4 linked regions of the Pelodiscus sinensis genome follow. The protein of the gene in region 4 purifies or fractionates together with the protein of the main gene of each other region. This does not show direct contact. Links are inferred from orthologs where the notes say so. Each region holds a gene or a part of one and is shown on either strand. Other genes may lie near its edges. The genes, in order: FGF2, CAMKV, AMPD2 and SDC2.

The links.
Region 1: the proteins of SDC2 (region 4) and FGF2 purify together in Homo sapiens (affinity purification with mass spectrometry; 4 studies listed by BioGRID and IntAct, counting the BioPlex papers as one, with this or other methods). This does not show direct contact. The link is inferred for Pelodiscus sinensis from reciprocal best matches to the Homo sapiens genes SDC2 and FGF2.
Region 2: the proteins of SDC2 (region 4) and CAMKV purify together in Homo sapiens (affinity purification with mass spectrometry; 3 studies listed by BioGRID and IntAct, counting the BioPlex papers as one, with this or other methods). This does not show direct contact. The link is inferred for Pelodiscus sinensis from reciprocal best matches to the Homo sapiens genes SDC2 and CAMKV.
Region 3: the proteins of SDC2 (region 4) and AMPD2 purify together in Homo sapiens (co-immunoprecipitation; 3 studies listed by BioGRID and IntAct, counting the BioPlex papers as one, with this or other methods). This does not show direct contact. The link is inferred for Pelodiscus sinensis from reciprocal best matches to the Homo sapiens genes SDC2 and AMPD2.

The regions. Positions count from the first base shown.
Region 1 is NC_134715.1:37,761,627-37,769,602, reverse strand, and holds the start of FGF2 (fibroblast growth factor 2), read right to left. Parts: upstream 3,002-7,976; 5' UTR 2,845-3,001; coding exon 2,193-2,844; intron 2,019-2,192; exon of another isoform or gene 1,881-2,018; intron 1-1,880. UniProt on the Homo sapiens protein: Acts as a ligand for FGFR1, FGFR2, FGFR3 and FGFR4. Also acts as an integrin ligand which is required for FGF2 signaling. Binds to integrin ITGAV:ITGB3.
Region 2 is NC_134721.1:45,788,325-45,796,233, reverse strand, and holds the start of CAMKV (caM kinase-like vesicle-associated protein), read right to left. Parts: upstream 3,011-7,909; 5' UTR 2,846-3,010; coding exon 2,824-2,845; intron 1,809-2,823; coding exon 1,700-1,808; intron 1-1,699. UniProt on the Homo sapiens protein: Does not appear to have detectable kinase activity.
Region 3 is NC_134737.1:15,280,212-15,288,112, forward strand, and holds the start of AMPD2 (AMP deaminase 2), read right to left. Parts: upstream 3,006-7,901; 5' UTR 2,872-3,005; coding exon 2,790-2,871; intron 1-2,789. UniProt on the Homo sapiens protein: AMP deaminase plays a critical role in energy metabolism. Catalyzes the deamination of AMP to IMP and plays an important role in the purine nucleotide cycle.
Region 4 is NC_134712.1:38,828,755-38,836,361, forward strand, and holds the start of SDC2 (syndecan-2), read right to left. Parts: upstream 3,011-7,607; 5' UTR 2,561-3,010; coding exon 2,501-2,560; intron 2,094-2,500; exon of another isoform or gene 2,079-2,093; coding exon of another isoform or gene 2,064-2,078; intron 1-2,063. UniProt on the Homo sapiens protein: Cell surface proteoglycan which regulates dendritic arbor morphogenesis.

The sequences.
Region 1 (7,976 bases), on a different chromosome or scaffold from region 4:
TCTTCCCCTAGAACAATGTAGTAAGATGAGGGCCCGAAACAAACATTGACCTAAACAGCAATGGTAAAGACTTTGCTAATATAAAACAGAATTAAGCTGTGAGCATGAGGCAGGCCCTGCTCACAGAAGCTGGCAAGAACAGGGCTGATGTTACGGAAACACACATACCTGCTAAGCACAGGCTGTAAGCACATTCCAGAGGTCATGAAGGACACCTCATTGAGAAACATCTTGGTACCAACACACACCAAAGATAACAAGAACATACAAAACCAGATTTAGGACAGGGTCTAAACTGACAGCATGATAGATAGTGACAGAACTATGTACAAGGTAAGGGGTGGATCTAATGTCAGAAGACGGCAACCTGATATGTCAGGAGTGAAGTGTAATTTGTTTGCACCTGTGTCTAAAAGTGTACACTCAAAGAATTGTTGTCTAGTCAAGGGGGTAATATTAGATCAATAGTTTTGAGTGAGGTATTCCATTGTCACAAGCAATGTTCCCACTAAGCTTTTCCATCCATGTGTAGAATAAATTTTATGTGCACCAACACATGTGCAGATGTGCACCAGCAATAGAAATACATGCTGATGGCTCTAGGCATTGCGGGCGCTCTGCTAATCAGCTAAGAAGCATCTGTATCTCTCCTGAGTGTCCACACAAGTGCTCAGCTTACAGGCACTGGTCATGAGGTACATATGAGTAGTGGCTCTGGGGCAAGTCTATTCGTTGACAACTATTACTGTACTTTGCTTGGCAATAAACCTGGCCTGGTGCCTTCGATCCTTATCTGATTTTGTGATCTTTGGGGGCTCTCTCTAATAGACAGGAGAAACACACACACACACACACACACACACAAGTTAGAATATAAGAACAGCCATACTAGGTCGGACCAAAGGTCCATCTAGCCCGGTATCCTGTCTGCCGAGACTGGCCAATACCAGATCCCCTAGAAGGAGGGATCACAACAGGTAATCCTCCCGTGATCCCTCTCCTGTCACCCACCTCCAGAGAAACAGAAGCTAGGGACACCATTCCTACCCATCCTAACAGCCATTGATGGATCTAACCTCCATGAATCTATCTAGCTCTTTTTTGAGCCCTGTTGAAGTCGTAGTCTTCACCACATCCTCTGGCAAGGAGTTCCATAGGTTGACTGAGCTGAGTGAAGAAAAACTTCCTTTTGTTTTTGTTAAACCTGCTACCTATTAATCAGGGTTTAGCACTGACTGAGTAGAAAACCTGCTAGGAACCCATCAGTAATGCTTGACTGACAACAAATACTGTCTAGGAGTTGGTTCAAAGTATTGTACACTTGTTTTTACTGTCTTTTGATCCAAGTTTATATTAGGGATGTGAAAGTGTAACCATTTACATCAGTTAATGTGCAGGGTTACACACAGACCCTCACCCATGCTGTTGCCTCTATATGATTTTCAGTGGTTACACGATTACATAATTAGATGCATTAACATCCCTAGTTTATACATGAAATTGAAAACCTTTTACAAACAGGTGCCCCACTCTTTTGGTTGAGGAAGAGAGCTTATGTGCTTTAATAGAGCCATAACCGTTAGTAAAGCAGACAAAGTATTTACCATCTACACTGAGATCATCTCCTGTTAGGAACCGTAAACTTCACTCTCAATGAACTAGGCAAGTGGCGTTCTATCCATTTTGGAGACAGGGGAAAAGTCGGGTATAGGCAAGAACGTTTTCCTATGCTTGAATAGGATGGGGAGCATTCTAGTTAAACTCCTGGCTACAGTTTGCAGTTGAGGCACCCAGGCAGCTAACCAGCCTTAAAGCGTCACAATCCTGAATGAAGCTCCTCTGCACTGACTGCGAAGTCATGGTTATGACTGTCCCCAATCCTGATCACACACCGGGAGATTTTTCTCATGTGAAGAAGCCCAGAAAGGCTGAGTGATTAGCCCCCGATCGCACAGCAGGTGGGGGCCCAAAGCAGGAGAGCACTCAGGCCCTCGACCCCACCCACCGATGGCTCGAAGGTAACAGGCACAGGTTGGATGCCTGGGGCGCTGTCCTGCCCCCACTAAGCGGGACGCGAGCGCTTGCCATTGTTTTCAAGGGAGCCAGGAGTGCCCCCTCCGGGAGGAGTTGGGGCTCGGCGGGGCCTGCCCCGAAGCCGTGCCCAGGTGGGAGGGGAAGAGGCTGGTACTCACTGTGCGGGTCGCTCTTCTCTCGGACTCCGTCCACTCTGCCGTCCGGGTTGATGCGGAGGAAGAAGCCCCCGTTTTTGCAGTACAGTCGCTTGGGGTCCTTGAAGTGCCCCGGCGGGAAGGTGCCGCTGCCCCCGTCGTCGGGCAGCGTGGTGATGCTCCCCGCCGCCATCCGCCCCGCCGCGGGGTCCCGGGCCGGGGAGACCCCCTGGTGCCCGGCCCCCCTGCCGCGGCCGCCCAGCCTCGCCCCCTGCCGGCTTCGCCCTTCGCCGCGCCCGCCCAGCCTCGCCCCTGCCGGTGGGGGCCCGGCCCCTCCTCTCCGAGCCCGACGCCCCGGCCCTGCCGCCTCCGCGCGGGAAGCGGCTCCCGGCTGCCCGGCGGGGCTGAGGGTGCTGCGCAACGCCCGGGCGCCGCGAGCCCGTGGGCCGGCCAAGGTGCGGGAACGAGCGTCGCCCGGCTGTCGCGGCGGGCCAGAGGCAAGCGCCGCTCTCAGCCACTTGTTTGTGCGCCTCGGCTTCCCGCTGCTGCTCCGCCCCCTGCCCGGCGCTGGGGGCTCGCTGGGCCGCTCCGCTGCCTGGCCGGGGGGACTGGGAGCCTCCTGCTGCGCCTGCTGGAGAAACTGGCAGCCGAGCCGGAGGAGCGGTTCCCTCCCCATCCACCCTGCCCGGCCCTGCCTCCCCTGGCCGCACAGCCAGCCTCCTGTCTGCCTCCCCGCCCGCTCCCTCGCCTGGAGTGCGCAGGGAAAGTCCCCTTCCCGACCCTCTGCCGGCTGCAGGGCAACAGCATCCGCGCGCTTTCACAAACTGGTCGTAGACAGAGCGAGTCTGGGGCAGCTGGCGCCGCAGAAAGGAGCCAGCTGGGGCGGTGTCACTTTTTAGGCACTATACCAACCCTTTTTTCATTTGCTCTTCTGGAGGGGGGTTTGTAGACGACGGTTAAGGGGGGGTATTAAAGCTAGTGGGGGCGTGAGGAAGATCTTCATTTCACACCCTAGGACCTGCACTTCGGGGCAGGAATAAATTGAATCGTCTCTGCTCCAGTGCCAGGAAAACAGCAACTCCCACCTCCCAGTCTAAATTGCCTAGTAGGGATGTTAAATTTCAAACAATCAGCTAAACCAGTACTAAAGCAAAAGTCTATCAACTACTGGATTAGTAGATAAGGGGAGGGGAGTGCTTGTTATCCTAGTGATAGAAATGTAGCCGTGTTAGTCGGGGGTAGTTGAAGCAAAATGCAGGACAATGTAGCACTTTAAAGACTAACAAGATGGTTTATTAGATGATGAGCTTTCGTGGGCCAGACCCACTTCCTCAGATAAAGCTCATCATCTAATAAACCATCTTGTTAGTCTTTAAAGTGCTACATTGTCCTGCATTCTGTTATCCTAGCTGCCTCTTGTTCTTACTAGATTTAAAAGGCAAAAGAGCAGCCCCTTTCCTTCCACCGCCTGTTGACAGGCCTGTCAGTAACACACAAATGGATTATTTTTAAATCAAATTTTAAAGCAAGGCCCTCTAGACTCTCACATGGTAAATTAAAAAATTGACAGTATATACCTGGACTTGGAAAAATGTTTGTAAAATGGATTTGTTATCACTTGAATGGCTCTTTCACAGGTTCAATGTTCTGCTAATAGGTCAGGCAGGCTGTGTTATTTTTTAGTTAACTAGATCCTCTCCGGAAGAAGCAGAGCCACATAACAGGGATAGGAAGAGGCAGGTGGATCCACATTAAGAGCCAGGCTCCGTCTACCTACATTGTAGCCTTCTTCTGGAAAAGTTTATGCAAATGAAGCTTGTGTAGAATAGCGCCATGCTTCATTTCCATATTTAGTTAGCTGTTTTTGCGCAAGAGGCTTTTGCGCAAAAAGGAGCTGTGTAGACAGCTCCTTTTTGCGCAGAACCCCCCTCTTGCGCAAGCCGTTCTTCATTTTTTCCAGGGAAAAGGCTCCTGCGCAAGAGGGGGTTTTTGGACAGAAGGGTTTTTTGCACAGAAAGGAGCTAGGTAGACAGCTCCTTTCTGCGCAAAAGCCTATTGCGCAAAAAGGGCTGCTCGTTAATTATGCAAATGAAGCATGGCAATATTCCACTCCATGCTTCATTTGCATAAGCTTTTCTGGAAGAAGGCTACAGTGTAGACGTAGCCCACTGTTGCCCCAGATTTTCAAGTGTCCTACACAACTCTACAGTCTAGGTATGGGTAAAGATGACTCTGCTGAAAGACACAATATTTCCTCTTCACTGGTGTGTGCATATCCAAGAATAAAAAGGCCAAATATTTCTCCTTTTGGGAATCAAGAAAGAGCAAAAATGTATACAAGATTTACAAGTAATAGGAATCTTTCCTTTGTGCAAAGCTGAATGATGAAAACTGTATGGCGGAAGAAAAGGAACAGACAAGTAAATCTTAGAGGAGCATTAGTTATGACTTATTGTGTTAGTAGAAGTGGCCCAACCTTAGAGTGTTTGCTAAATCCTCTCCTCCACTATTTCTGAAGAGCACAGTAAACAGTCAGAAAACACAGAATAAAACACTCTTCCTGTTATCAGTCTGCACCAGCAGGAAATATTGCCAGAAGATGACCCACAATTTGTTCCACTTGATCCACAGATCTGGGCTGCCAGAAGGGATCCTCATAACACAATATTCCTCTCTGTCAGGACATTATAAACCAAGTTCATACCTCAAGGAAAAAACATTTGATAGCTATGCAAACATATATTCGTTACCTTTCCAGGAAAATGAGGGCTAAGGGACAATTGTTCTACCCCAATTCAACAAATAAGGCAGTCAGACAAATGGTTGACTACTTTCAACAAAAATACTATATTTATGTTTAAAAAGTGATTTTCTCCCACCCCAGCAATGCCAAACTACAAGCCTCTCCATCACTGCTACTCAATACCAAACAATGTCCAGTTTGATATTGTATTAAAATCTATTGCAAATATAGCTGCCTCTTGACAGTTATATAATTCTAGTAAGACGAATAGCCAAATCACTTACTTTAATGTGCACATAAATCAGTGTCATGCATTGCATTAGCTTTTCGTTTTAGACAAGGACCACCCCAAACCAAGCATCTAGAATTGGTGGTACAATTCCCATTGCTCCTCCATATTGGATTTATCTGTCAATGTGATAGAAGTAATTCTTTCTGTATTATCTAACTATACAACAATTGCCATGTGCTTGTATTTTAAATATTGCATGTATAAACATAACATCTACAATATTTGATTTTATAAATATCATAAGTACAACTGTTCAAGCCTGTGGGGCTGTGGCCAAGTCTTGTTGGTTTCTTGGAGAGGAGCGCAAAACATTTTCTCTATGTAATTTATACAACTGTCAACTTCTGTCCAAAGGCCAGAGTCTGGAGACAGCCAAAATGTGATTTTTCCCTAATACTGTCCAGTCAATGACCTCATGCCTGACCTGGAATAGTCACCCTACAAGGGTGTAAGAAGTTTCATCTTCTTGATTGCTTGGACCACCTAGTTCTTGTTCTCTTCCTAAGCAGAAACTATGTGCTATTACACAAGAGCTAGTATTAAGTTAATAGTTAAGATAAAATCGAAGTGAACAATTTGTTACTACAGCTGTGAACAAGAGGGTGTGTAGGAAGAAGTTGTCCACTCTGGCACTCTTAAACAGCCCTTTGATTACGGAACATGATCCTTTCAGTAAAGATCTCTGAAAAAGCTAACCTGGACATTGTTATTTTCATGACAATCCATTGCTAATTATAAAGATTTACTTATCTCACATGTATTGTGCAGCAAGGAACAAAAATCTATGAACCTTGGTTCCTTTTCCTTACACAAATTTGGAATTCCATATAAAGTTCCCATCACTAAGAGATAACAGCAGACTATCTAATTTGGTTGGTTTCTCCTTCCCTGATGAGACTTTAGAACACTTTTTCTTCCTATATCAACTCAACTAAGTCACTATTGTGACAAAAGTACATGTCACTGAAGCCAATGACGTCAGGGCATTCAATTACAGAAATAATTAATTAAACTAGGAAAAACAAAGCCTTATCAACAAGATGGCGGACAGGTACGAGGGAGTACCTTTCCTTTTTGAACCAGCCCAATTAACACATTCCAATAGCACATTTGTCTTGGCCTGGCGCATGGGGTGATAGAAAGTTCACTTTGGCCTACGTGCAAAGACAAAAAGCTGAAATGGTTTCTGTTATACAAGATGGCTTCTAGCTAAACATAAAATAGCTTCTACAGAGCTGAATTCGGGGACAATCCCCGGAATTTGCCCCTTTAGAGTATTACAGTTAGGCACAAAAAACATTAAGGTCACAAAACCCAGGCATTCAAAAGCTGTAAAATACCAGTGTTCCTGTTGCCTGGGTATAAACTTAATTTGGCCCCTTGTGTATTTGCATTATGACCACATATTTTTCTGTATTGTCTCCCTGCCTCTTTTTGTGCTCATGCTAGATGGTGCTTAAAGAGCGGCTATTCAATATTTTGTGTTCTCTCTGTTCAGTACATAACCCTTAGCCTTGTATACTGTGCACTACTCAAACCCTGCTCTAAGGACAGAAATTCAGTTGCCTTACATGTTTTACCCTGGTCTTCACAAAGACTAATGAATTTATTTTCACAAACTTCCCTGCAAGATGAAAGAGTATTTGCTCCAATTTACAGAGTGGGAATGGCGGCACAGAGAAATTATAGTCAAAAGCATCCATTGATCTTGGATGCCCAATTTGGTGGTCCTAGTACCAGAGTTTTCAGAGTACAAAGCATTCTGTAGTAACTTACATGCTCAAAGCACAGCCCCCATTGACTTTCAGCCATGAGCGCTCAGCATTTTGGTGCTGAAGACAGACGGTCGGGCAGGGTCGGCAACCTTTTCAAATCGAAGAGCCAAACTACATCAAAATTCAGAACAAGTGGTCGACAAGAGCTGTATAAGAATGCCCATTTGCAGGACTGAAATATACAACTTAATATTATTGATAATCAACATGGTGATTAATAATAGCATAAATGCAACTACTCAGACTTTAATAGGACTTCTGCTGCAGTATCTTTTCACACATTTCTTGAAGTTCACATCATGATGGGTCAAATCCAGCTTCGTGCATGCATTCAGGGTGTCGTCTGTCAATCTCATGGCCAGGGGCTGGAGATGTAGGGGTGTAGGAGTCTGGGTTGCTGTGTATGAGGGGCTCAGGGCAGGGACTGGGTTATGTGGAAAGTACACGAGGCAGGACAGTGTGTTGGGGAGGAGGGGAGAGGACAGTATGAGGAGCGGGGGCTGGATTACCTTACCTGGCTGAGCTGTTGCACTCAGGCAGCAGCGGCTGGACGAGAGGCGGGGCCAGGATTGCTGCAGCTGGATCATGGCCTCCCCTCCTATCTGTGTCACAGCAGAGGGGACAGTGCGCCACCAGCTCTTCCTGCGGCCAGATGGGGGATGGACAGGGGCCTGCCTGAGGATCAGGGCCAGGGACTGGATGCTGACCGATTGGGGCCTTCTTGGCCAGGCTGCCACGGGAGCAGCTCTACTACAGCCCCAGCCCAAGCTTCCAGCTGCAGTCAAGGTGGGAGCAGCCGGGCTGCCTCTGTGTGCCAGAGTTGGAGCAAGGTCACGGTGCAGTCCCAGAGCAAGCTGCCTGCCCTGGGAGCAGCCAGGCACCCACCACCAGCTTCCTACAGCTCCAGCCCAGGGTGGTGGGTGGGAGCGGCAGAAGCAGCACCATGGCCTGGGTAGTGCTAAGAACTGATGCCCTCAGCCCAGTCTCTTCTCTGGTGT
Region 2 (7,909 bases), on a different chromosome or scaffold from region 4:
GGAAAGGTATAACAAGTGGGGTTCCACAGGGGTCTGTTTTGGGACCGGCTCTGTTCAATATTTTCATCAACAATTTAGATATTGGCATATAAAGTACGCTTATTAAGTTTGCAGATGATACAAAGCTGGGAGGGGTTGCGACTGATCTGGAGGATAGGTCTGAGGTAAACAGGATGAAGTTTAATAAAGACAAATGCAAAGTGCTCCACTTAGGAAGGAACAATCAGTCTCACACATACACAATGGGAAGTGACTGTCTAGGAAGGAGTCCGGCAGAAAGGGATCTAGGGGTTATAGTGGACCACAAGCTGAATATGAGTCAGCAGTATGATGCTGTTGCAAAAAAAGCAAACATGACTCTGGGATGCATTAACAGGTGCGTTGTGAGCAAGACACGAGGAGTCATTCTTCCACTCTACTCTGCACTGATTAGGCCTCAGTTGGAGAATTGTGTCCAGTTCTGGGCACCACATTTCAAGAAGGATGTGGAGAAATTGGAGAGGGTCCAGAGAAGAGCAACAAGAATGATGAAAGGTCCAGAGAACATGAGCTATGAAGGAGGCTGAAAGAATTGGGTTTGTTTAGTTTGGAAAAGAGAAGATCGAGGGGGGACATGATAGCAGTTTTCAGGTATCTAAAAGGGCGTCATAAGGAGAGAAAACTTGTTCATCTTGGCCTCTGGGGATAGAAGAAGCAATTGGCTTAAACTGAAACTGCAGCAAGGGAGGTTTAGGTTGGACATTAGGAAAAAGTTCCTAACTGTCAGGGTGGTCAAACACTGGAATAAATTGCCCAGGGAGGTTGTGGAATCCCCATCTGTGGAGATATTTAAGAGTAGGTTAGATAAATGTCTATCAGGGATGGTCTAGACAGTATTTGGTCCTGCCATGAGGGCAGGGGATTGGACTCAATGACCTCTCGAAGTCCCTTCCGGTCCTAGTATTCTAGGATTCTATGACTTCTTCCCAGCCAGGCAGGGGACTGGTCTGTGAATCACTCCAGGCTTCCACGTAGTCTGTGCGCTCGGGTGTGACTGTCGTCCTTTCACCGCAGTGTGTTGGGAACTCCCTCTGCAGTTTAAAAGTCCAGGTGCTCTTCAATTCTGGCCCCAAAGCATCTTCGCAGGGGTCTGCTTTACAGTAGAATGGGCACGATCCTGTCCGCAAATGGAAGCCTTGCTGTCTCGGGTGGGACTGGAGACACGCCGTGCAGCTGCGGGGCCGCGACAGGAAGGAGCAGATACGGCACGTTTGACACCACTTCCACAAACTCTTTGGATGCGAGTGGAGCCCCGCTGCCACGCGCCGGCTCCCAGCCTTGAGAACCAGAGGCTGCCGCTTTTCCTGTGACGCTGAGCTGTCGGAACTCACGCCCGGGTACGTGGACGGCTCGCACGGTGCCGTGCGCTCCCTGGGCCCTGCAGTCGCCACCCGCCGCAGCCACAGAAACTCCTGGGTTCAGCCCGCCAGGCTCACCGGCCCCTCACGCAGCACTTCTCTGCAGCCAGCCCCTTGCACGCCTTCCGCAGAAGCGGCAGCACTCGGTGCTGGGGGCAGAATCGTCCCAATCTCACGATCAGGGGAAAAGCTACAGCAGGGTCCGCCTGTGAACGGCCCCCCCCCCCCCCATCTTCTCAGAGGACCCCCCCACACACACAGGGCCGGGCAAGCTCAGCCGGAGGCGTCCGGGCCAGACTCACGTTTTGATGACCTGTCCCAGGTCATATCTGTCCGTCACCTCGGATGGCTGGTTGTAATCCTTCTTGTCTCCCAGGGTGACGCAGCCAAACGGCATCGCCGGGGCCGGTGCTGGAAGGCAGAGAAGCAGCGAGTGAGGAGGGCGTTTGCATGACCCTGCCACTGGGCCACACTGCTTCCTCCGGGCCTTGCTGGTCAGGCCCCCCCGGCTGCCAGTGGCCTTTCTGGCACTTCCTGCCCCGCTAAGGCAGGGCTCCTTCGCAGTCCCCTCCCCCCAGCACGGCCATTTCCCATTCCAAAGCAGAGTGCCAGCTCCCTGCTGGGGTCTTCCTGCCCCGCAGGGGGTCAAACCTCACTCCGTGCAGTCCCACCACTTCGCGGCTTCTCCCCAGGAGAGAGTCCAGCGCGGCTCAGCTGATTGGCAGAGCGCTGGTGGTGCACATCCGCACAAGCCTTGGTGCGCAAAACAAATTTATTCCACACGGGTGGAAACGATCATTGGGAGCTTTGCCGTGGAGTGGGGCTGACTGAGGCCAGGTCTGTGCCCTGTCACCTGCGCTCACCAGCCTGGTGGCCCAGCTGCCAGGAGGAAACTGCTCCCCCTCGTGCTGACACTGAGCAGGGGGCTGCCAGTCTGCTCACCAGCCCAACACCCAGTGAGGGCCGCCAGCCACACCCGCCCGCAGAGCCACTGCAACGGCCCGGAGCACGGCAGGTTCCTCTGCCCAGGGTAGGCAGGCGCTGGGTGCCCGATCCCAGCCCTGCCCAGGCAGACCCAGCGTGCCCAAGCCTGCCCCGGTGGAGCGGTCTCTGTGGGCCCCATGGCCGCACCGCGTGGGACCCGGACGCACGGCCCAGCAGGCAGCCGGCCGGGCCCTTGGCTCTGTCCCCCCCCCCCCCCTTCCCCCGGCCATTCCCTGCGGAGCCCGGCTCTGGCTAGAGGAAGCTGGTGGGAAACCCTCTGGCAGTGCCCTTTGGTTCCCACGTCTCCCCCCCCCCCTCCGCTGCTGTGTCTGGGCCCATGGGCTCCCAGCGCTCTGCCGGGCAGCGGGATGCCAGCCTGGGCACGTGGTGACCAGGGCGCTCTGCCGCGCGGCCCAGCCTGCTGCAGGCCCCGTGTGGGCACCTCTCCGCCCGGCCTGCTCCATGCCCTGGCACTGGGCCTGCTGCAGCACGGGGCAGCCGCTAGCCGGGCCACGAGGGGCTGGGCTGGGCGACTCCCGCAGCAGCGCCCAGGGCCATGCCCTGCCCGCACAGCCCAGCTGCAGGGCCACGGGGCAGCTCAGGCCGGGAACCAGAGCCCCGACCCCCTTGCTCCCTCAGCCGGCCCCACCCCCTCCTCACAGACTTGCCTTTATCCTTCTGTACAACTCCCATTGCCATAGCAACAGGCTCAGCGCCTGTACCCAGAGCAGCACGCACTGTGCCTCCCCCCGCCTCCAGCAAACAGGTGCTGAGACCCTGGCCCAGACCCTCCCCTCCCCTCCTGCTGTGGGCTAGGGAGGAGCAAAGAGGGGGCCCCCTCCCCAATGCCTCCAGCTGGCCCCGGGGCCCCACTGAACAGCTGACTGGGGCCAGTCCGGCTGGAATCACTCGACTGATGGGCCCCGTTTTATTTCCAGCTGCTCCGGGCTCAAGCAGCCCTGGAGCCAGCCCCTTGGCTGGCTCTGCAGCGGGACGCTCCCTCCCTGGCCTGCCGCGAGCCAGGCACGGCCCCCCCCCCCACATCCGCACAAGCCTGACGCTGGGGGTGCTGGGCCAGGGCTGCCAGCCGGCTGATGGCCAGGGCCCTACCAAACCCACAGCGCTTCCAGCCTGTAGCATGCAGATTTCCCGGGGCCCCCAGCCTCTCTCAAACTGGGCTCTTGACCCCAAGAGGGAGCGGCCGGGGGTTACCAGGTTGTTTTGGGGGAGGGGGAGTCACAGCATTGCCACCCTTACATCTGCACTGGCTTCACAGCTGGGCAGCCGAGCGTGGTGGTGGTGGGCCTGGCCCCCAGCCCCGAGGGCAGCACCCCACCCGTGGCAGGGCAGACGGCTAGCAGTACTGCACCCCCACACACAACTCCTTCTGGTCAGGGCCCCTACAATTACAACACCCTGAGATTTCAGATGGGAACAGCTGAAACAATGAAACCGACTGTTTAAAACCCTGTGATGTGAAATTGACCAAAAAGGACCATGAATTTGGTGGGTTCCTACTTGTTGTGCAAACCCACAGACCCTTGCCCCCACCCCTTCCCCGAGGCAACACCCTTCGTCCACCCCTCCAAGGCCCCTCCCTGTCACTCCACCCCCGCCCCTCACTCACTCACTTCCAGGCTGGGGCGGGAGATTAGGAGCTTGGGGGGGAGGCAGAGGATCAGCACTTACCTTAGGCTGGCACTTCTGGGAGCCACCCAAGTGTCTCCTAGATGGCTGGGGGTGGGGGGAGTCTCCATGCCCACAGCTCCCATTGGCTGGAGACTGCAGCCAATAGGAGCTGCAGAGTCAGAGCTCATGGTGAGGGCAGCAGAGATGGGCTGGCTACTTCCGGGAGCAGCGTGTAGCAAGGGAAGCAGGAGGCTGCCTTCGGGAGCGGCCTGAGGCCGGCTGCAGCAGCTGATGCCCCAGGTGGAAGGCGCGATCGGCACCCCCGCTGTACGGCTGCCAATGGCCGTGACGTACCCATCGGGCACCCGGTGACGTCATCATTGGGTGCCCCAGGCCAGTGGCGCCCTAGGTGACCGCCTAGTCTGCCTAAGCTCACGGGCCGCCCCTGCCTGCCTTGGCCCTGCTGTGCTGCCGGCAACAGCGGCTCCCAGGCCCTTCATCACCCTGGCTCCTGGAGAATTGCCCCTTGCCCTCCCCCATCCAGCGACCTGCGCTCCCACTTGGACAGCTGTTCGGCACCAATGACCTTGCCCTGGCTCATTCCCGCTCACCCTACCCCAGGCCGACGTGCTTCCTGGGCAGCGGCCGGCTCCATCCCAGCACCCACGCCCGAGCAAGTCAGTGGCCTGCCATTGGCACCTGGCACTGCACGGGCCCGTGCGGTGGGTGAACCCCTGCCCCATCCAGATGGCAGCTGACCGCTCCCGCAGAGAGCCGAGCTCAAAGGTACCCGTCATCCCCCGCTGGCCCATGAGCTCTGGGGTCTCAGCCTGGACGGCAGCCCCCGTGCTGCTAGCGAGAGCAGGTTCTTGCTGGGGAAGGATCCAGGGCCACTGCACAAGGGGATAACAATCTACTACTGCTGCAGACTAATGGAGCCACATGGGGGGATGGCCTGTACCTCAAGCTCCTGGGAGCAACGCCTGCGGATAAGTCATGAACACTGTGGGAGGAGCCCCCCATCTTCCTCTGAGATTAGCTGCTGTTTGTGCAGGAAATGCCATAGCAAGCAACCTGTCCCCGGCCCTCACCATGCTGCGTCAGGAGGAGCTGCAGACCGAGGGAGCCAGGGATCAAATCACTGGCAGGAGGCAGTACACGGGTTCAGCTGGCAGCAAGGGGTCCGGGGAGAGGAGAGGGTGTGGGGCCGGCCACCACGAGTGAGGGATTCGCCAGGCCCAGGGACCAGGCTGGGGGGGCGGTCCTGGGGGTCTGGCCTGGCGTGGCTGGAGCTCTGACTCTGCCGGGCAGCAGTCACTGGAACCACGCAGCGATGCCCTGTGGGGCTGGGCGCACGGGGCAGCAAAGGGGGCCAGGGAGCTCTCCTGGCTGCGTGGGAAGGACAGCCCCGGCAGGCGGCGAGTGGGACGTGAGGGAACAGCAAAGCGGGGCCGAAGGGGGCAGAGGAGGGGGGGCAGAGCGGAGCCAAGGGCGGGGCAGGGGCTTCCCTTTTCCTTCGCTCTAGTGACTAATGTACCAGCCTGGCCCACTAAGAGTCAGGTGCCCGGTTCTTGGGGGAGGGGGAGCGGGGGAGGGGGGCCCATGGGCAGGAGGGGAGAGGACACGTGGGGCCAGATGCGCCCCATAGACAAGGTCAGAAGGGGCCCGGTGCCACTGCAAGGTCTGGGACTCACGTGCAGCATGCCGTGCCCGGGGGCAGGCTGTGCCCAGCTCTGGGGGGAGGCGGTGGTATCCAGGGCCCTGTCCCACGCCAGGCAGCAGGGGCACTCGCCCTGGGCCCTGCCACAGGGGGTTGGGCCCCCGGCAGCCTGCGGGCCTGGCCCAGCGGGAGCTGCCCCCAATGGCCCAGCCCTCTCCATGCCCTCAGCCGCCTGCCCGGAAGGGGCAGCGGGTTCCCCGGCCCACGAGCAGGGAAAGGAGGTTACACGTCACCCCAGCACTGGGGCTGGTACCACGTCTGACCAGTTCATTCCCTGGCGGGGCTGTGCTGGCAGCCAACACACCCGCAAAGCAGGGCCTGGGCCAGCTGCTTCTCTGCCCCCATCGCCCTCTTCTCGGCCGGCCCAGCCCGGGCTCCCCTGCTTGCTGCCGTCAGTGCCTCGGGGCCCTCCGGGGCCTCCGCTGCAGGCTCCTGGCCAGCCTCCACCCCAGGAGGAGAGCGCAGAGCCCGGAGGAGCCGGCGGCACAGGGCAGGCGGGTGAGCTACAGCACGTGGGAGCGGCCCCAGAGGGAGCAGGCAGGGCAGCGGGAGAGACGCAGCCTGGCGCCACGTACAGGGCAGAGTTAGCAGCTGCCTCGCGCCCACCTGCTGCCCAGGCAGGCTGAGCTGGCACAAGGCGCCTGCCTCTCAGGCAGATCATGGGGCAGCGTGAGCAACGGCCCCAATTCAGCGCCGTGGGGCCCATCTGCAGGAGCCAGGCAGCCAGGCCTGGGCAGCCCAGGGAGAGCCAGCCCCACCCCGGAGAGTGCTGGGCAGGAGCCAGAGAAGCGGGGCTCCGCTCCCGGTTGCCAGGAAAGCCCCATCCGGCCAGTGCGGAGCTGGGCCGAGGGGTCGGGGGGTCAGGACCAGTAAGAGGGGGCAGGATAGCTCTGCTGGCTAAAGCTCAGTCACTAGCAGGCAGGCACCCCACTGCCCGTCACAGCCCCGGGTGGCGCTCAGGGGACCGCAGGACACGCACCCACTAGAGCTGGCGAGGGGGACACGGCCTGCCAGCCTGGATCTCGTTTGCAGAGCCCAGCGCTTGCTCCAGAACCTGCCCTGCACAGCTGACTCAGCCGCCACAAAGAGCGCCCCAAGGGCCGATCGCAGCTCCCCGAGCAGTAGCCGGGCACACCCGCCCCCTTGGCTGCCGGGCGTTAACCCTGGAACAGAACGACGCACACAGACATCGCCCACTCACTGTGCACGTGCGCAGCGGAAACAGCCGCCAGTCCCCCTCCCCCGCTCTTCCCGCCCACACCCCTCGCAGGGCTGTCACACCGCCTGCACCGCACGAGACAGCGGGGCCGGATGACATCCAGGCTGGCGAGAGCCCCTGGCTCCCTCCTGGCTGAGTCTGCCGCCGACTGTGCCCCCCGAGTCAGGCGCCAGCGCGGGAACCTCCTCCAGGCCTTCGAGTTGCCAGAGGGGATGTTGCATTGCCAGGCTGCCCCACTAGGGGGAGCATCATGCCCCTTGGGGCGGCCTTGCACAGCCAGGCTAGGGGGCATTGCCATGCACTTGGCATGGACGAGCTGCCCAGCCCAGGGCCCCCTTTAGGGACTGGGGGGGCAAAGCGAGCACGGAATCTGGTCCTCAGCCAGCAAAGGGGAGCGCTGCCCGCTAGGGCTGACTGTTCCCGCCAGGAAAGCGGCTGGCAGCCACGCCAGGAGAACGGGACCAGGGACAAGAGGGGGCACAGGACGTTCTAAGGGAAGAGACCGCCTCGGGGAAACAGGACAGCTCTCGGGCTGTAATTACAGACCCAGCAGCTCAGCGCCGGTCCCAGGCCGGGGGCTCTGGGGAGCCGGGGGCGGGGCCGGTCCCAGGCCGGGGGCTCTGGGGAGCCGGGGGCGGGGCCGGTCCCAGGCCGGGGGCTCTGGGGAGCCGGGGGCGGGGTGACTGGGGTTTTATTGCTCAATCTGAGAGTATCCAGTAAGGTGGCACATGAGTATCCTGCACGCCCCACCAGGGGCCACGTGCCCCCCACTGAGTAGCGAGTGTGATCGGGCCCTATGGATGGCCTAGGGCAACGACCCCATACCCCTAGGCTGGGCGGGAACGTAACTCTGCCATGGGCGCGTGGTGGCGGAGAGCAGGAAGGGCCAAGTGAGTCGGTCCATGTTCCTGGTACGCTAGAGACCCCAAGCAGACTGGGGAAGGGCCGCCGTGCATGCAC
Region 3 (7,901 bases), on a different chromosome or scaffold from region 4:
GCTACATGCATAGTGTGGCAGAGACCCGGACAGGTGCTACGCTTTCCCAAGGCCCAGGCACCCCAGGCCTCCTGCGTGTGGGGGCTTCCCGTGGGCCCCTTGAAGCTGCGACATTAACGTGCGCGTGGGAGCCCGTGCTTTGTAGAGCGCTGGCAGCAGCTGATTAACGGTTCCTGGAATAGTCACCATCCAGCGGGGTTCGTGTGCGGGAATGCGGCAACGAATTCCATCCTAATCCGGGCCGTGTCAGTAACCAGCGGCGTTAACCCTCGGTAAAAGGCGTTTGCTAAGGCACCGTTCACCTTCAAGGGCAGCCAGAGCCCTAGGGCGAGGCGTAGGCAACAGAGCAGCTCCCATCCACCACCACCACCCCGCCCTTCCTGCTGCTGCTCCCCCCTCCCCAGATCTCATGCCGGGAGCAGTGAAGGGAGGGGAGCTGGAGGGAATCTGGCAGGGAGCCATGCTTGCCAGCCTCTGCAGTGTGGCAGGGGAGGGATCTGGGGGGCGCAGCCAGGCTGGAATCCCCTCTGACGATGCACCCCCTCCCGGCCAGTGCCAGCTGACTCGGGCTCTGGCGAGAGGGCTGTTTAACTCTGGTGCAGACCTGGTCCTGGAGGCCGTCTCCAGCCCCACGCGCCTGAGCCAGCGGGCACGGGCCAGGTGTCTCAGTGCAATGTAGACACCCTCCGCTGCCCATCCCCCGCTGTCTGTCTGGAGGATGCCTCCTGCAGCCCAGGGGCCTGGGAGCGCCCACAGGACCTCACCCCTCAGCTGTCTGCCCTGGGGCGCCCTCACAGCAGCGCCCTGTCGATACCAGCGCTGAGGCCCGGAACCAGCTGCATCACAGAGATGCTGATTTCACCCCCTTCCTCACCTCACGCCCTCGAGGGATGGTGCAACCCCGTGACTTCCTCTGCTGGAATCCTGCACCCCCGCCTAGCAGCCGCTCCACCTCCTGCTACCCATTTCAGGAATTATAATTGCAGCAGGAAAAACAAGGTATTGATCCACATGCAGAATTACACACACCCCTATGCCCAGGTGTCCAGACCACACAACGGCCTCCCGCCCCCTGGGAACTCAGCACACACGAGGTGAGCGTCCCACACCACCGCACACTCCACAAGCACACAGCACGCTGATCAGCATCAGCCAGGCTTCTAGGCTCTATGGCAACAGATGATAAATAAAGGAGTAAGAATAATGTGTCCCTGCAACACAGCCCCATGAGCGCACCACACAACACCCACACGCAGATTAGCTAGGTGCATTATGAGCTTTTCCCTCCCCACTTGCCTCTGACACCCCACAGTGCCCGAGACTGATGCAGGAAAGTGAACTATGGCCTGGGCCAGTATTAAGGGAGATTCCATCTGCCCTAGCACGACATTCACTGTGGGGCACATGCAGGTGAGCCCAGCTCATCAGGTGTGGGTGCATCATGCACAGCACCCCCCTGCCTCCAACATTCACAGCCCCCAGGGCCTGTGCTTAGGGGCATGATTCTCACACCACAAAACACAGTCCCACTGACTTGAACACGGGATCCTGTAGCCAGAGAACATGCCCTGGGACCGCCTGGCCTGCAGAGCTGACACCCAACTAGTGCCCCAGCTGCCCCACATTAAAGGCTGCTGCCTAGGTCCCCACAAGCAGGACTCTGGTGCGCCCACAGCTGCAGCAGGCTGTCTCTGCAGGCTGGGGGCTCTAGAACACGTGGTGGGAGAAAGCTGGATGCCCCCCAAGGTGGTGGGTGCTATGTTCCAGCCCTAGGAGAGGGCCCCAAAACATGGTTTGATCCATGTCTCCCATGCCCACAGATCCACGCCACAGTCGCGCACCTGCACCCACACCCGACCCACTAGGGCTCACAGGGGCAGGAGGCAGCAGCTTCCACCCAGGACCTCAAAGCATTTCCCAAAGGCAGGTGAGGAGCATCACTCCCAACTCACAAATGGGGAAGTGGCCACTCGCTCGGCGGGGGCAGCTCAAAGCCAGATACACACAGAACCCAGCCCCCCCCCCGCTCTAACCCGACACCCTGTGCGGGAACCCGCCCCCCCCCCGGCCCCCCGCTCTAACCCGACACCCTGTGCGGGAACCCGGCCCCCCCTGACCCCCTGCTCTAACCCGACACCCTGTGCGGGAACCCGGCCCCCCCTGACCCCCCGCTCTAACCCGACACCCTGCGTGGGAACCCGGCCCCCCCGACCCCCTGCTCTAACCCGACACCCTGTGTGGGAACCCGGCCCCCCCCGCTCTAACCCGACACCCTGTGTGGGAACCCGGCCCCCCCCGCTCTAACCCGACACCCTGCACTGCACCTAGACATGCAGGGGACCCAGCCCCCCATTCCGCAGCTCTAACCCGACCCCCAGCATTTGCCCCCAGCCACGCAGGGACCCAGGCCCGGCCCCCAGTTCTAACCATGACACCCGGGCAGCCCCTGCTCTAACCACTAAGGTCACTGCCCCCCCCCCCCACATCCGCAGCACACACGCGCCTGCAGAGTTCACGCCCCCACACTCACGCGCAAAGGAAGCACGGGGGGGGCTTTCCTTTCCCTCCCCCCAGCCCTATCCATCCCTTGCCTTTACTAGCGCTACACGCACCCCGTCCCCGCAACGCGGCGCCCACGCCAGATGCCCCGGATCCCCCGCAGCTGCGCCGCCCCGGGGGCCAGGAGGGGAGCCGGTGACCCCCCCGGTCCGCGGGCGAGCGGAGAGCCCCGGCCCCGCGCGGAACAAAGGCAGCCCACGCACGGGCGCGGGGGCCCGGCCGGCGCTCACCTGCGGCGGCGGCGGGGGCCTGCAGGCTGCCCCGCTTCTGGAAGGGGTGCTTGCCCCGGGGGGGCGCGGCGCCCGCCGACATTGCGCCCGCCGGGGAGTCGCAGCTGCGGAGCCGGGAGCTCTTCCTGCAGCAGCGGCCCAGAGCTTGCTCGGCCCCTCCCCCGGCCGCTGATTGATGCAGCGAGCGCGGCGCCGGATCGAAGTCCCCGGCTCCGCCTGGCGCGGCGCCAGGCCCGGGGCCCGAGCTCGGGCGAGCCCAGCCGAGGGGCAGGGCAGGGGCCCAGGGCGCCGGCTGGAACAGACCCCAGGGGCGTGGTTTGCGGGTTCCAGCAGCAGCACCCCCTGCGCAAAACTTGGTCCGTCCTCCCCCCTCCCCCCAGCCGGGCCTGGTCCCAGCTGTTCCCAGAGCAGCGAGCCCAGCGGGCCATGGAGCCAGTCTGGGGGCTCTGCTAGGGGCCAGAGAAAGAACTCCCCTCCCTGGAGAGCTGTGGCAGATGAGGGCGCCTGGCCAGATGTGGCAGGCAGATCCCCCCCCCCATGCCTCAGGGATGGATCCGTGCCAGGCCACAGGCAGACCCACCTGCTCACCTCTGCAGAGGAGCAATCCAGGCCCCCCTCCCGGGGCTCTGCCCACAAGACCCAGCACCACCCTGCACAGCATCTTTCCTGGGCGGCCATGGTGCTTTCCAACCCGCCCCATAGGCCCCTATCACTGGGGCACACAGAGATGTCACACCAAGCAGTACATCAGCATCACAGCCGGAATTGCACCTCCTGCCTGCACTAACCACTGAGCCACACTCCCATCCTGATCGGCAGGACAGGCAAAGATGTACAGTACAGGCTTTTCAGCCTCCTTTCCCTCCACTGCTATTTTCAGAGGCTGCCAGCCCCATCCCAGGCTTCTGCTAGCACAAGAGCCAGAAAAGGGGCTCCCTGGTGGAACAGGAACAGGCAGCAGGGACAGGCCCTCCCCGCTAGTAAGACACTAGAATAAGCAACACTGGCTGGTGGAGAGCACATGGGGCTAGGACTCAGGAGAGGTGGGTTCTATTGCTGACTTCACCAGTCTGTGCCTCGGTTTCCCCTCCCCCTTTGCTTGTCATATTTACTTAAATTGTTGGCTCTTTGGGGCAAAGACTGTCTGTGGGTGTGTGCGGCACGCAGCCGGGCAGGGCGTATCATCTCCGGGGCTGACCGTCCTCTAGCTATTTCACCCCATGGTCTCAGCAGTAGCTGGTTTCTGGACTACTGTGGGGTGGATGTGTGTAGGGGAGAACTTTAGGAGCCATGGCACCTGCCAGGCCTGGGTCTCAGGCCTGGTGAAATGGACTTAGTCAAGAGGGAGAACAAAGGGCATCGGGAGCCAGCCTGTGTTTACTGTCTGGATGTGGCGGAGCCTGACACTTTACAGAGACGAACAGTCCCCTAGAAATGTCCCTGGGCGGGGGGTAACTGTGCTGCAGAGAAGAGCCCCAGAGGGTCTCAGGAAAGGCAGGCCTCGGGTTCAGAGCTGAACAAGCGCTGCCCAGGCGGGTGAGAAAGGGCCTGTTCCTGGGGGCCAGGGGGCTCTAGGCTGCACCTCCCTTTGCCTCCTGTGTCCCAGTCCTTGTGTTTGAATCGTTAGCTCCAGCTCTGGCGAGCAGCCCTCCCTGGGGGTAAGCGCAGACACAGGGGAGTGCCTGCCCCGAGCACTGGGGGCAGTGGCCAGTGGGGCCAGCAGACACAGGGGAGTGCCTTCCCCGGAGCACTGGGGGCAGTGGCCAGTGGGGCCAGCAGACACAGGGGAGTGCCTTCCCCGGAGCACTGGGGGCAGTGGCCAGTGGGGCCAGCAGACACAGGGGAGTGCCTGCCCCGGAGCACTGGGGGCAGTGGCCAGTGGGGCCAGCAGACCCGAGCACTGGGGGCAGTGGCCAGTGAGGCCAGCAGACACAGGGGAGTGCCTGCCCCGAGCACTGGGGGCAGTGGCCAGTGGGGCCAGCAGACACAGGGGAGTGCCTGCCCCGGAGCACTGGGGGCAGTGGCCAGTGGGGCCAGCAGACACAGGGGAGTGCCTGCCCCGGAGCACTGGGGGCAGTGGCCAGTGGGGCCAGCAGACACAGGGGAGTGCCTGCCCCGAGCACTGGGGGCAGTGGCCAGTGGGGCCAGCAGACACAGGGGAGTGCCTGCCCCGGAGCACTGGGGGCAGTGGCCAGTGGGGCCAGCAGACACAGGGGAGTGCCTTCCCCGGAGCACTGGGGGCAGTGGCCAGTGGGGCCAGCAGACACAGGGGAGTGCCTTCCCCGGAGCACTGGGGGCAGTGGCCAGTGGGGCCAGCAGACACAGGGGAGTGCCTGCCCCGGAGCACTGGGGGCAGTGGCCAGTGGGGCCAGCAGACCCGAGCACTGGGGGCAGTGGCCAGTGAGGCCAGCAGACACAGGGGAGTGCCTGCCCCGAGCACTGGGGGCAGTGGCCAGTGGGGCCAGCAGACACAGGGGAGTGCCTGCCCCGGAGCACTGGGGGCAGTGGCCAGTGGGGCCAGCAGACACAGGGGAGTGCCTTCCCCGGAGCACTGGGGGCAGTGGCCAGTGGGGCCAGCAGACACAGGGGAGTGCCTGCCCCGAGCACTGGGGGCAGTGGCCAGTGGGGCCAGCAGACACAGGGGAGTGCCTGCCCCGGAGCACTGGGGGCAGTGGCCAGTGGGGCCAGCAGACCCGAGCACTGGGGGCAGTGGCCAGTGAGGCCAGCAGACACAGGGGAGTGCCTGCCCCGAGCACTGGGGGCAGTGGCCAGTGGGGCCAGCAGACACAGGGGAGTGCCTGCCCCGGAGCACTGGGGGCAGTGGCCAGTGGGGCCAGCAGACACAGGGGAGTGCCTGCCCCGGAGCACTGGGGGCAGTGGCCAGTGGGGCCAGCAGACACAGGGGAGTGCCTGCCCCGGAGCACTGGGGGCAGTGGCCAGTGGGGCCAGCAGACACAGGGGAGTGCCTGCCCCGAGCACTGGGGGCAGTGGCCAGTGGGGCCAGCAGACACAGGGGAGTGCCTGCCCCGAGCACTGGGGGCAGTGGCCAGTGGGGCCAGCAGACACAGGGGAGTGCCTGCCCCGGAGCACTGGGGGCAGTGGCCAGTGGGGCCAGCAGACACAGGGGAGTGCCTGCCCCGGAGCACTGGGGGCAGTGGCCAGTGGGGCCAGCAGACACAGGGGAGTGCCTTCCCCGAGCACTGGGGGCAGTGGCCAGTGGGGCCAGCAAACACAGGGGAGTGCCTGCCCCGGAGCACTGGGGGCAGTGGCCAGTGGGGCCAGCAGACACAGGGGAGTGCCTGCCCCGAGCACTGGGGGCAGTGGCCAGTGGGGCCAGCAGACACAGGGGAGTGCCTGCCCCGGAGCACTGGGGGCAGTGGCCAGTGGGGCCAGCAGACACAGGGGAGTGCCTGCCCCGAGCACTGGGGGCAGTGGCCAGTGGGGCCAGCAGACACAGGGGAGTGCCTGCCCCGGAGCACTGGGGGCAGTGGCCAGTGGGGCCAGCAGACACAGGGGAGTGCCTGCCCCGGAGCACTGGGGGCAGTGGCCAGTGGGGCCAGCAGACACAGGGGAGTGCCTGCCCCGAGCACTGGGGGCAGTGGCCAGTGGGGCCAGCAGACACAGGGGAGTGCCTTCCCCGGAGCACTGGGGGCAGTGGCCAGTGGGGCCAGCAGACACAGGGGAGTGCCTGCCCCGAGCACTGGGGGCAGTGGCCAGTGGGGCCAGCAGACACAGGGGAGTGCCTGCCCCGAGCACTGGGGGCAGTGGCCAGTGGGGCCAGCAGACACAGGGGAGTGCCTGCCCCGAGCACTGGGGGCAGTGGCCAGTGGGGCCAGCAGACACAGGGGAGTGCCTTCCCCGGAGCACTGGGGGCAGTGGCCAGTGGGGCCAGCAGACACAGGGGAGTGCCTGCCCCGAGCACTGGGGGCAGTGGCCAGTGGGGCCAGCAGACACAGGGGAGTGCCTGCCCCGGAGCACTGGGGGCAGTGGCCAGTGGGGCCAGCAGACACAGGGGAGTGCCTTCCCCGGAGCACTGGGGGCAGTGGCCAGTGGGGCCAGCAGACACAGGGGAGTGCCTGCCCCGAGCACTGGGGGCAGTGGCCAGTGGGGCCAGCAGACACAGGGGAGTGCCTGCCCCGAGCACTGGGGGCAGTGGCCAGTGGGGCCAGCAGACACAGGGGAGTGCCTGCCCCGAGCACTGGGGGCAGTGGCGTTGGGACCTTTCCCCGGGGGCACAGACAGGAGGACCCCGTCAGCAGAGGCAGCCATTGACCCCAGACACTGCAGGGTCCCCCAGAGCGCCCGGCTGCCTCTCCCAGGCGGAGCGCGGGGCCCGGCTAGATGCTGGTCTGGCTGGAGGTTGCACAACAGCCAGTTGCGTCACCCCGGGCCGGGGGAAGCGCCCGCAGCTCCGCGGCACCAGGGCCTGGCTGCGCCGGGGAACGCCCGTTCCGGGGCCCCGCGCCCCCGAGCGACCCGCCTGTCCAGCCAGCTGCAGCAGCGCGGGGAGCGCCCTGCCCGCGGGGAGACCCCGCCCCCCCCCCGGCATGTCCCGCCAGCCGCGCGGGCAGCAAACCCCCCCCCCCCCCCCCCCCGGGCCCGGGCCGGCTCCCAGTCAGGCCCCGGCGGAGTCAGGGGGACGAGACTGCCCCTCCCCCTCCCGGGCCAGGGTGTTAGCCCCCCCCCCCCGCGAAGCGGAAAGACAAAGAGGAACCGAACAATCCGCCTTTGTGCTGCAGGAGCCGCGTGTCGGCTCCGGCCCCAGGGAGCCCGCAGAGCCCCCCCCCCCCGGGCAGCCTCCGGACTGCAAAGCCGCAGTTGGGCGAACAGCAGCGAGCGGGGGGGGGGGGGGGGGAGAGGGAGGGGGTAGGGCGAGACCAGCTGAGCGCAGGGGGGGGGGAGATAAGGCGAGAGACCAGCTGGGGGGGGGCGGGTAGGGTGAGAGACCAGCTGAACGCAGGGGGGGGGGGATAGGGCGAGAGACCAGCTGAGGGGGGGGGATAGGGCGAGAGACCAGCTGAGGGGGGGGGATAGGGCGAGAGACCAGCTGAGCGCAGGGGGGGGGGAGATAAGGCGAGAGACCAGCTGGGGGGGGCGGGTAGGGTGAGAGAC
Region 4 (7,607 bases):
CATCTCTAGAAGCTATTATAGCTGTAAAATTTAAATAGAAAGCATTAAAATATACTGTACGTCATTAAAGACTTGCCATAATAAACTGAGTTTAATTTTTATTTTTCATGATACAAACTAAAATCACTAGTTATGCTACGGAGAAGACTTAGTTTTATTTTAAGAAAATATCACCCTTAAAAGGCTTTCATGAAAGATTGGCTCATCCTTAACCAGAGATTCTGTATTGTATTCATATTTAAATAATATCTAAAATACTTGCAAAAATATTGCATGTGAGTGAAATTGTTTACCACAGTGGAGCAGCTCACTCTAATTGAATTACATTGTCATTGTTTCTTAATAAGAAATTGAAGCTCAATGAACTGAGAAATGTTAAAGACCCTAAAAATACTGAAGCAGCAGCAAATGTAGTTTGAGATTATCTAGGGAAAGGTGATACCAAAGCGCATACAAGCATTAGTGAAAAAGCCTCAAATGCTAGTAAAGTACTATGATCTCCATTTTATGGAGAGAGAAAGCAAGAAACAGAACTCTGCCTACCAGAAATTCCAACTCTTGCTGCTGACTTAATTAACTAGAGAACTAAAGTTAGTGGAAATATATTTGTGGGTTTTAAAAAGGTACACAACAAATTATACTATGCTTCTCAGAGAAAAAAACATCTGCAAAGTGTTATCAGGGAAAGAGTCATCCTTAAGCCTCTCCATGTTTTGAGGAGGCTCCACTTGTATGTTCCTCTCACAGAAGAGCTCTTGTTTTCCCTGCCTGTGATTTTAGATACCAGATTGCCTGGAATGTTTCTCAAGGGTAAATACTCAGTCTGAGCCAGGAAGCTCTTTTTTCAAAGTATAATATTGTCCGACACACTAAAATTCTCAGTAAGTTTTTTTTTAAATCCTTAACTGAAAAGAGGCAAGCTGAGATTAACAAAATCACTTTATGTGCCAAAGAAATGAGGGTGTAAGACCTCAACTTTGCTGAGCTATTGGTTTCTTTTCAGTAGTTATGATGCAAGTATTACACAGAAAATTGCACGGGGAATATAGAATGCAAGCGATAACCTCCAGGGAGTCATGTTGACTCCAAATTTCACAAACTCGAGAACACTAACTTCGCAGTAAGGGGCGGGGAGAAGAGAACACAAACATGCCTCACGGGAGCGTTTTCATCGTCTTCTTTTACATTAAGATGTAGCTTAATTTGGACATACGGTAGGTAGTGGAGACAGTACAAGTAAGTGCTGTAGCTGAATCCGTCAACTCCCCAGGGCATTTTCAGGATTTGAGTTATTTTGCAAGGCAGCAATTCCCTTCGCGGCAGAAGAACCGAGGAAAGCATGAGGCAGGGCAGTTTTAAGGGAGAGCAAATCAGAAAACATGTATTGTTCCTAAACCGGAGCATAGGAGTCAACTGAATACAAAACTCCTACTACTTGGGTGGGAGAAGGGGGAGGAAAAGCTGGAGACAGCAGTGCAACCACTTACAGACCAAAAGTCTTCCGCTGCCCCATAGCACCATTGTTACAGCCCAAAGGAATCCCTGGTGGTTTCTACAGCTGAAAAGCCTATTACTGACTAGAAAAGAAGCAGGAAAGAACACAAGACAGACATTTTCTACATTCTAACTATGCCACTTACACCCCCCGCCCCGCCACAAAAATACATTAACTAGAAGAAGCAAATCGCAATCCTCAGAAAATACAGCTTCAGCCAGAAATTACTATCCTGTCACTATACACGGCGAATCAGAATAACTGCAATACGATTTTCTAACTCGTTTTTAGGGCAAGACTGTGAATTCTCAACCCCATCCTATCACGTTCGCCTCCAGGCCACCAACAACTCCTCAGCAGCAGAGCGCAGAAAAACACCAAACTTTATCTTCTAGAGTGGCAGGGTCACACCAAGAGTCACGTCTTTCTCTCACACTCTCCCCAGCCACGCACGGGTCTAGGGTTTGTTTTTGTTGTTAACAAAAAAAAAAAAAAAAGTTGTCCGCTATCAACAGATGCCTCTGCCCGAATCATAATTTACAGCCCCGCGCAAAGGAGAAACACGCACCCTTGGACAGATCATCAAAGTGACTTCAGCAGGCTCCTGCTCAGCAGATGTAGCAGCAGCTAGTCCTCCCCCTTCCTTAACCCCCCAGCCCGCTTCTCTGTGGAAGAAGCGCGTTTCTCTCCCAAGAGCTTTGAGGCTGTTGTCTCTTCCCCCTTCCCGCGCCCCAAAGTCTCCCACTGGAAGGGGGGATGGTTATTGCACAATCCCCCTCACCCCAGCCTAGAGCTCTCCCCAGCCACTGACAAGGGTCAGCGGGAGGGAGGGCTCGCCGTCCATCTGCAGAGGAGCTCCTGCCCCTCTAGGGACTCTACTGCGCCTGGCTGGGACACAGCTCCGCAGCTTTCTTCCCCCAGCAACTGCCCAGCCCGGCAAGGATGAGAAGGGCTGGTGCTGTCACCCCCCGGGAAAGCCCGTCCCCCCACTCCACCCTCACTTACCGACTCCCCGGACACACAGGCCACCAAGCCACAAGTGAGCAGTATCCACGCGCTCCGCATTATTCCCGGGGTGCAGGCGAGGCAAGCTGCCGCTTCAGGCAAAACCCAGCCGCCGAGCGATCCCCGGCTGCTTTGCCGCTACCAGAGCCCGCAGCACCAGCGACAGAAATCCCGGGCTCTCCGCTCCCTCCCTCCCGCAGCCGCCTCTGGCGCCGCCGCTTCTCACTTGTTGGCTGCCTGCAGGCAGGAATCCCACTAGGCACAGGGCGGAGTTGGTTGGTTGGTTGGTGGGGAGGGTGTCTCCCTCCCTCCCTCCTGCCCCGAGGGGATTTTAATTTTCCGGACACAGTTTCGGCTGCATCAATAAACGAGGGAGCAAAAGTTTGGGCGCGCGGAGGGGCTCGAGGCAGGAGTGGGGAGAGCGGAGCTTCGCAGGTCCCGAGCTGCTCCCTTCGCCCTCGGTCAGTGCAGGGACTGTCTCCGTCCTCTCCTCTGCGTGTGAAAAGGCAGCAGAGCGACTCCTAGTTAAGCCCAGGAGAAATTCCTGCAGGATTACAGCACAGATTGGCAGCTCAGGCAGCCAGTAAGGGGTGGGCCGTTTTGCAGCGGCCCCTCTCTCCTTTCTCCTTGTACACATCCAAGCAACTTTAGTTTTTGGTGTCTCCCCTTCTATTTTTTGCCCCCTTTAATACCAATGGAAATCGTTTGCAACGCCGCGGAGAAACGGAAGGGATCATGTTCAGCTTATTTTTGCTTTGAAGTGTGAGAAATGGGCCGATATAAACAAATAAACTTGGAAAGATCCGTTTTTTATAGCTCGGCAATCGGAGGTTTTTTTAAGCTTTTAGATGTTTGTTTGGAGTGGTGATCTCTCTCACCCCATCCCTCTCAGACTTCATTACATGTTACAATATGTTAACGGAATGGCATGCGGAATTGCCTGCTCCAAGCATTCCCACATCACAAAGCTGGCTCAAAAGACTCACAAGATTGCTGGGGATTAGCATTTTGGAGTCTTTTTATTTGCTATTTGGGGTCGCCTTTAGGTTCAGCTTTTCGGGCTTTTCTATATAAATGAGGGCTAGAAATTTACAAAAATGAAATCTGAGCTTCAGGTGTAGTCATGAAATGCAGGATTTAGGAGGGACACATTGTCTATAGCCAGCCCTGCCATAAATATTGCAAGATCTGGCAGCCATCTAATACATACTTTTAAAATTCTGGGTAGGTGGAAACTAACTGGGAAAGCAAACAGTTTTACACAATCCTCTTCCCTCCCCCCATTACACTATGGCTACGTCTAGACTGGCATGATTTTCCGGAAATGCTTTTAATGGAAAAGTTTTCCGTTAAAAGCATTTTCGGAACAGAGCATCTAGATTGGCACGGACGCTTTTCCACAAAAGCACTTTTTGCGGAAAAGCGTCCGTGCCAATCTAGACGCGCTTTTCCGCAAAAAAGCCCCGATTGTCAGTGTTTTTGTGGAAATACTATGCTGCTCCCAAACTTTTGTGCAAAAGGGCCAGTGTAGACAGCTCAGATTTGTTTTCCACAAAAAAGCCCAGATCGCGAAAATGGCAATCGGGGCTTTTTTGTGGAAAACAAATCTGAGCTGTCTACACTGGCCCTTTTGCGCAAAAGTTTGGGAGCAGCATAGTATTGGGAATGGGAGCAGCATAGTATTTCCACAAAAACACTTGACAATCTTATATGAGACGTCAGTGCTTTTGCGGAAATTCAAGCGGCCAGTGTAGACAGCTGGCAAGTTTTTCCGGAAAAGCGGCTGATTTTCGGAAAAAAACTGGCCAGTCTAGACACAGCCTATGTGGCTTACTTCAGAAACTAACAGCGGACATTCTGAGGGGCCTGTATTATTCTGCAAGTCAGATTAGATGATCATAATGGTCCCTAAATTTAAACATCTCTAAAGACCCAAGATGATGTAGAAGAAAGCTCTGTGAAGTTTCCCTTGCAGAGGTTTCCACAATCCTGTGTCTCTTTTCCACACTCTAAATTAGGGGAGGGGAACCTACAGCTCATGGGCCAGATCAGGCACCCTACTTAATTTGACTTGGTTCATGGCAAGTCTCTGCACCTCCAGCCAGAAGTCCCAGGCCTTGGCACCCTCCTTCCTTCCCTTATGCCCTGCTGGGCTGGAGCAGGAGCGAAGCTATGGTATCCCAAGTTGAGTGCAAGTGAAGTAAATGAGTGAGGGTTTATAGCTTTTTTTTCGCCTCACTTGTTAGTGTGGCCCTAAGTTATTTCTGTGCATCAGAGGCACGTGACAGAAAAAAGGGTCTCCACTTCTGCTCTATGGCTTGGACACATGAGCTGTGTCTAGACTGGCAAGTTTTTCCGGAAAATCATCTGCTTTTCCAGAAAAACTTGCCAGCTGTCTACACTGGCTGCTTGAATTTCTGGAAAAGCACTGATGATCTCATGTAAAATCATCAGTGCTTTTCCGGAAAAACTATGCTGCTCCCGTTTGGGCAAAAGTCTTTTTCCGAAAGACTTTTGTGCAAAAGGGCCAGTGTAAACAGCATAGTACTGTTTTCTGCAAAAAAGCCCCAATCGTGAAAAAGGTGATCGGGGCTTTTTAGCGGAAAACCGCGTCTAGATTGGCCACGGGCGCTTTTCCACAAAAAGTGCTTTTGCGGAAAAGCATCCTGCCAATCTAGACGCACTTTTCCGAAAATGCTTTTAACGGAAAACTTTTCTGTTAAAAGCATTTTCGGAAATTCATACCAGTGTAGACGTAGCCAGAGGTTATATTTTTACTGCGATGAAAGAATCAAGTCCTGGAGCCTAGTTCAACTGAGTTGCAGCTCCCTGGTATCTTGGTTCCACTTTCCTTGAACATACCCCTTACTAGCATAAAAGTTCAGGCCATTCAAATGGAAGTGCTCCCTCACCCAAAATCCCCCTTAACCCTTCCTCACATGTAGATTCACAGAGGAGTCTATATGGCAGGAAATGAGACAACTGTGCTGTAGAGTGACTACCTTCCAAACAGAAGAAGCAGTTTTGAGCGTCCTCCTCCTGTGTATGGATATGATCCTGGGAGAACACAATAGTAATAACACTCGTCCAAATACTGATTTTCAGAACTTTTTACAGGCACTCTCTTCTGAAATCCACTTTGGCTTTTTTTTTCAACATCTTCAAGCTTTGCGCAGTACAGTCATTAATGAATCAATGGAGAGTTTGGAATAAAAACTGATTACACAATATATCACTTAATCTTCAAAACATACTGCAAACATTCAGACCCCAATCTTGTAAGGTGATATGGGTGGACAACTGGAAGAAGCCACTGAGTTCTGTGCAAATGGAGGGGTCCACTCAGACAGAGTACTTAGCTGGACTTAGCTGGACTGGGGTATAACTATGAATAAATCCACAGCCCTGTAAGGTAGATCACTAATATCCTTCCTTTACAATTGAGAAAAGCAAGGCAAAGGCTCCCATCCTGCAAACTGATCCAAATATACTTGTGCAGAATCCCATTGACTATAGGTATAAATGTCCATGTACACAGATTAGCTTTCAGAATCAAGGCCTGAATCACTTGCACAAGGCAAAAGAAGAGCTACAATTAAAACACAGGAATGCTAGGTATGTATTTTCTGATTCCTTAGTAATGGGTATACATCAGTGTTTCTTAAACTTTTAAGACCGATGAACACCATTTTGAATTCTGTTGTTCTCTGCGGCTCACACTGACTGCCTCATGGCACACCCATGTACCACAGAACACAGTTTAAGAAACACTGATGTACATTATGTTAAATGATAAAAACAGTAAACAACAATGAAAACAAAAACATAAAAAAGGCATGTGCAGGAAAAGACATAAGGAACCTGAGTACTGATTTTTTTTAATTACTATGGTGGGCTATTTCTGCCTTCATGTGCATATGCATATGTTTTAAACAAAAACACTTTCTTTGAATTTGTTACAATCTCTCTTGCTCAGAGATATACCCACTCTGTTCCAAAATCCCCTGCAGACTAAAACAAAGGCTTCTGTCCTCTAAGGGCTGTAAGGGTGCATCTACTACACTGTGAGGATGTTAAGTATCAGGTAATTGACTAGTTGCATAGTTGGTGCATTTTGCCCTAGGGCTGTTGTTACGTTCAAAGGCAAAAGCACCATCTGGAGCCTTGGGTCATCTGGGGACTCTGTGTGGCACTGCTGCTTTGAAACGCCGCTGCGGCATTTCAAAGCAGCAATGCCGCATGGAGCCTCATGTAAGCTGGGCAGTCCCCAGCTGATCCTGGGCTCCACGTGGCGCTGCTGCTTTGAAATGCCACGAGGAGCCTGACACCGGGCTTCCCGGGGCATTTCAAAGAGGCAGTGCTGCACAGACCCCGGGGACAGCTGGAATCCACAGATGGTCTCGGGCTCCGCACAGCACTTCTGCTTTGAAACACCGCATGCAGCCTGGGGACACCCCATCTGGCCTCGGGCTGCATGCAGCTTTTCAAAGCGACAGTGCTGCATGGTGCCCGGGGCCTGGCCTCAAGCTTCAAGTGGCACAGCTATTTTGAAGAACCCCTCTTCTCCCCCGTCTTGTTGCTTCTAACTGATAGAGCAGTAAGGCGGGGAGGGGAAGCAATTAGTTAACTATCCTGTTGACTCTCTGATAAGCATTTGCTTATCGGATGGTCGACTAGTCAACTAGTCCTTCACATCCCTACTACACAGCATTCTAAATTCAAAATAAGATATGCAGAATGCATATCTTATTTCAATTGTATTTCAAAATAGCTCATTGCAAAATTTGCCACATCAACACAACACCAAATTTTGAAATAACGTGCTATTTTGACACATTCCTTAACCCTAGTGGAACAAATATTTAAAAATAATGGAGATGTTTAAAAGATGCAGGGTAGCTATTTTGGGATACCTCTGGTATCCCGAAATAGCCCTGCTGTCTAAATGTACCCGAGGCTCCTCTTGAAAGGAGCTCCTCGTGGTAGATCCCTGCAGTCAGTGGGTTCCTCCTTACCCCTGAGTGTCTGTTGATACAGAATCTAGTACAAATTTGTGGCCTAAACCTTGGCATCTGTGGCCTCAAATCTTCAAAGCACATGCTTAGGT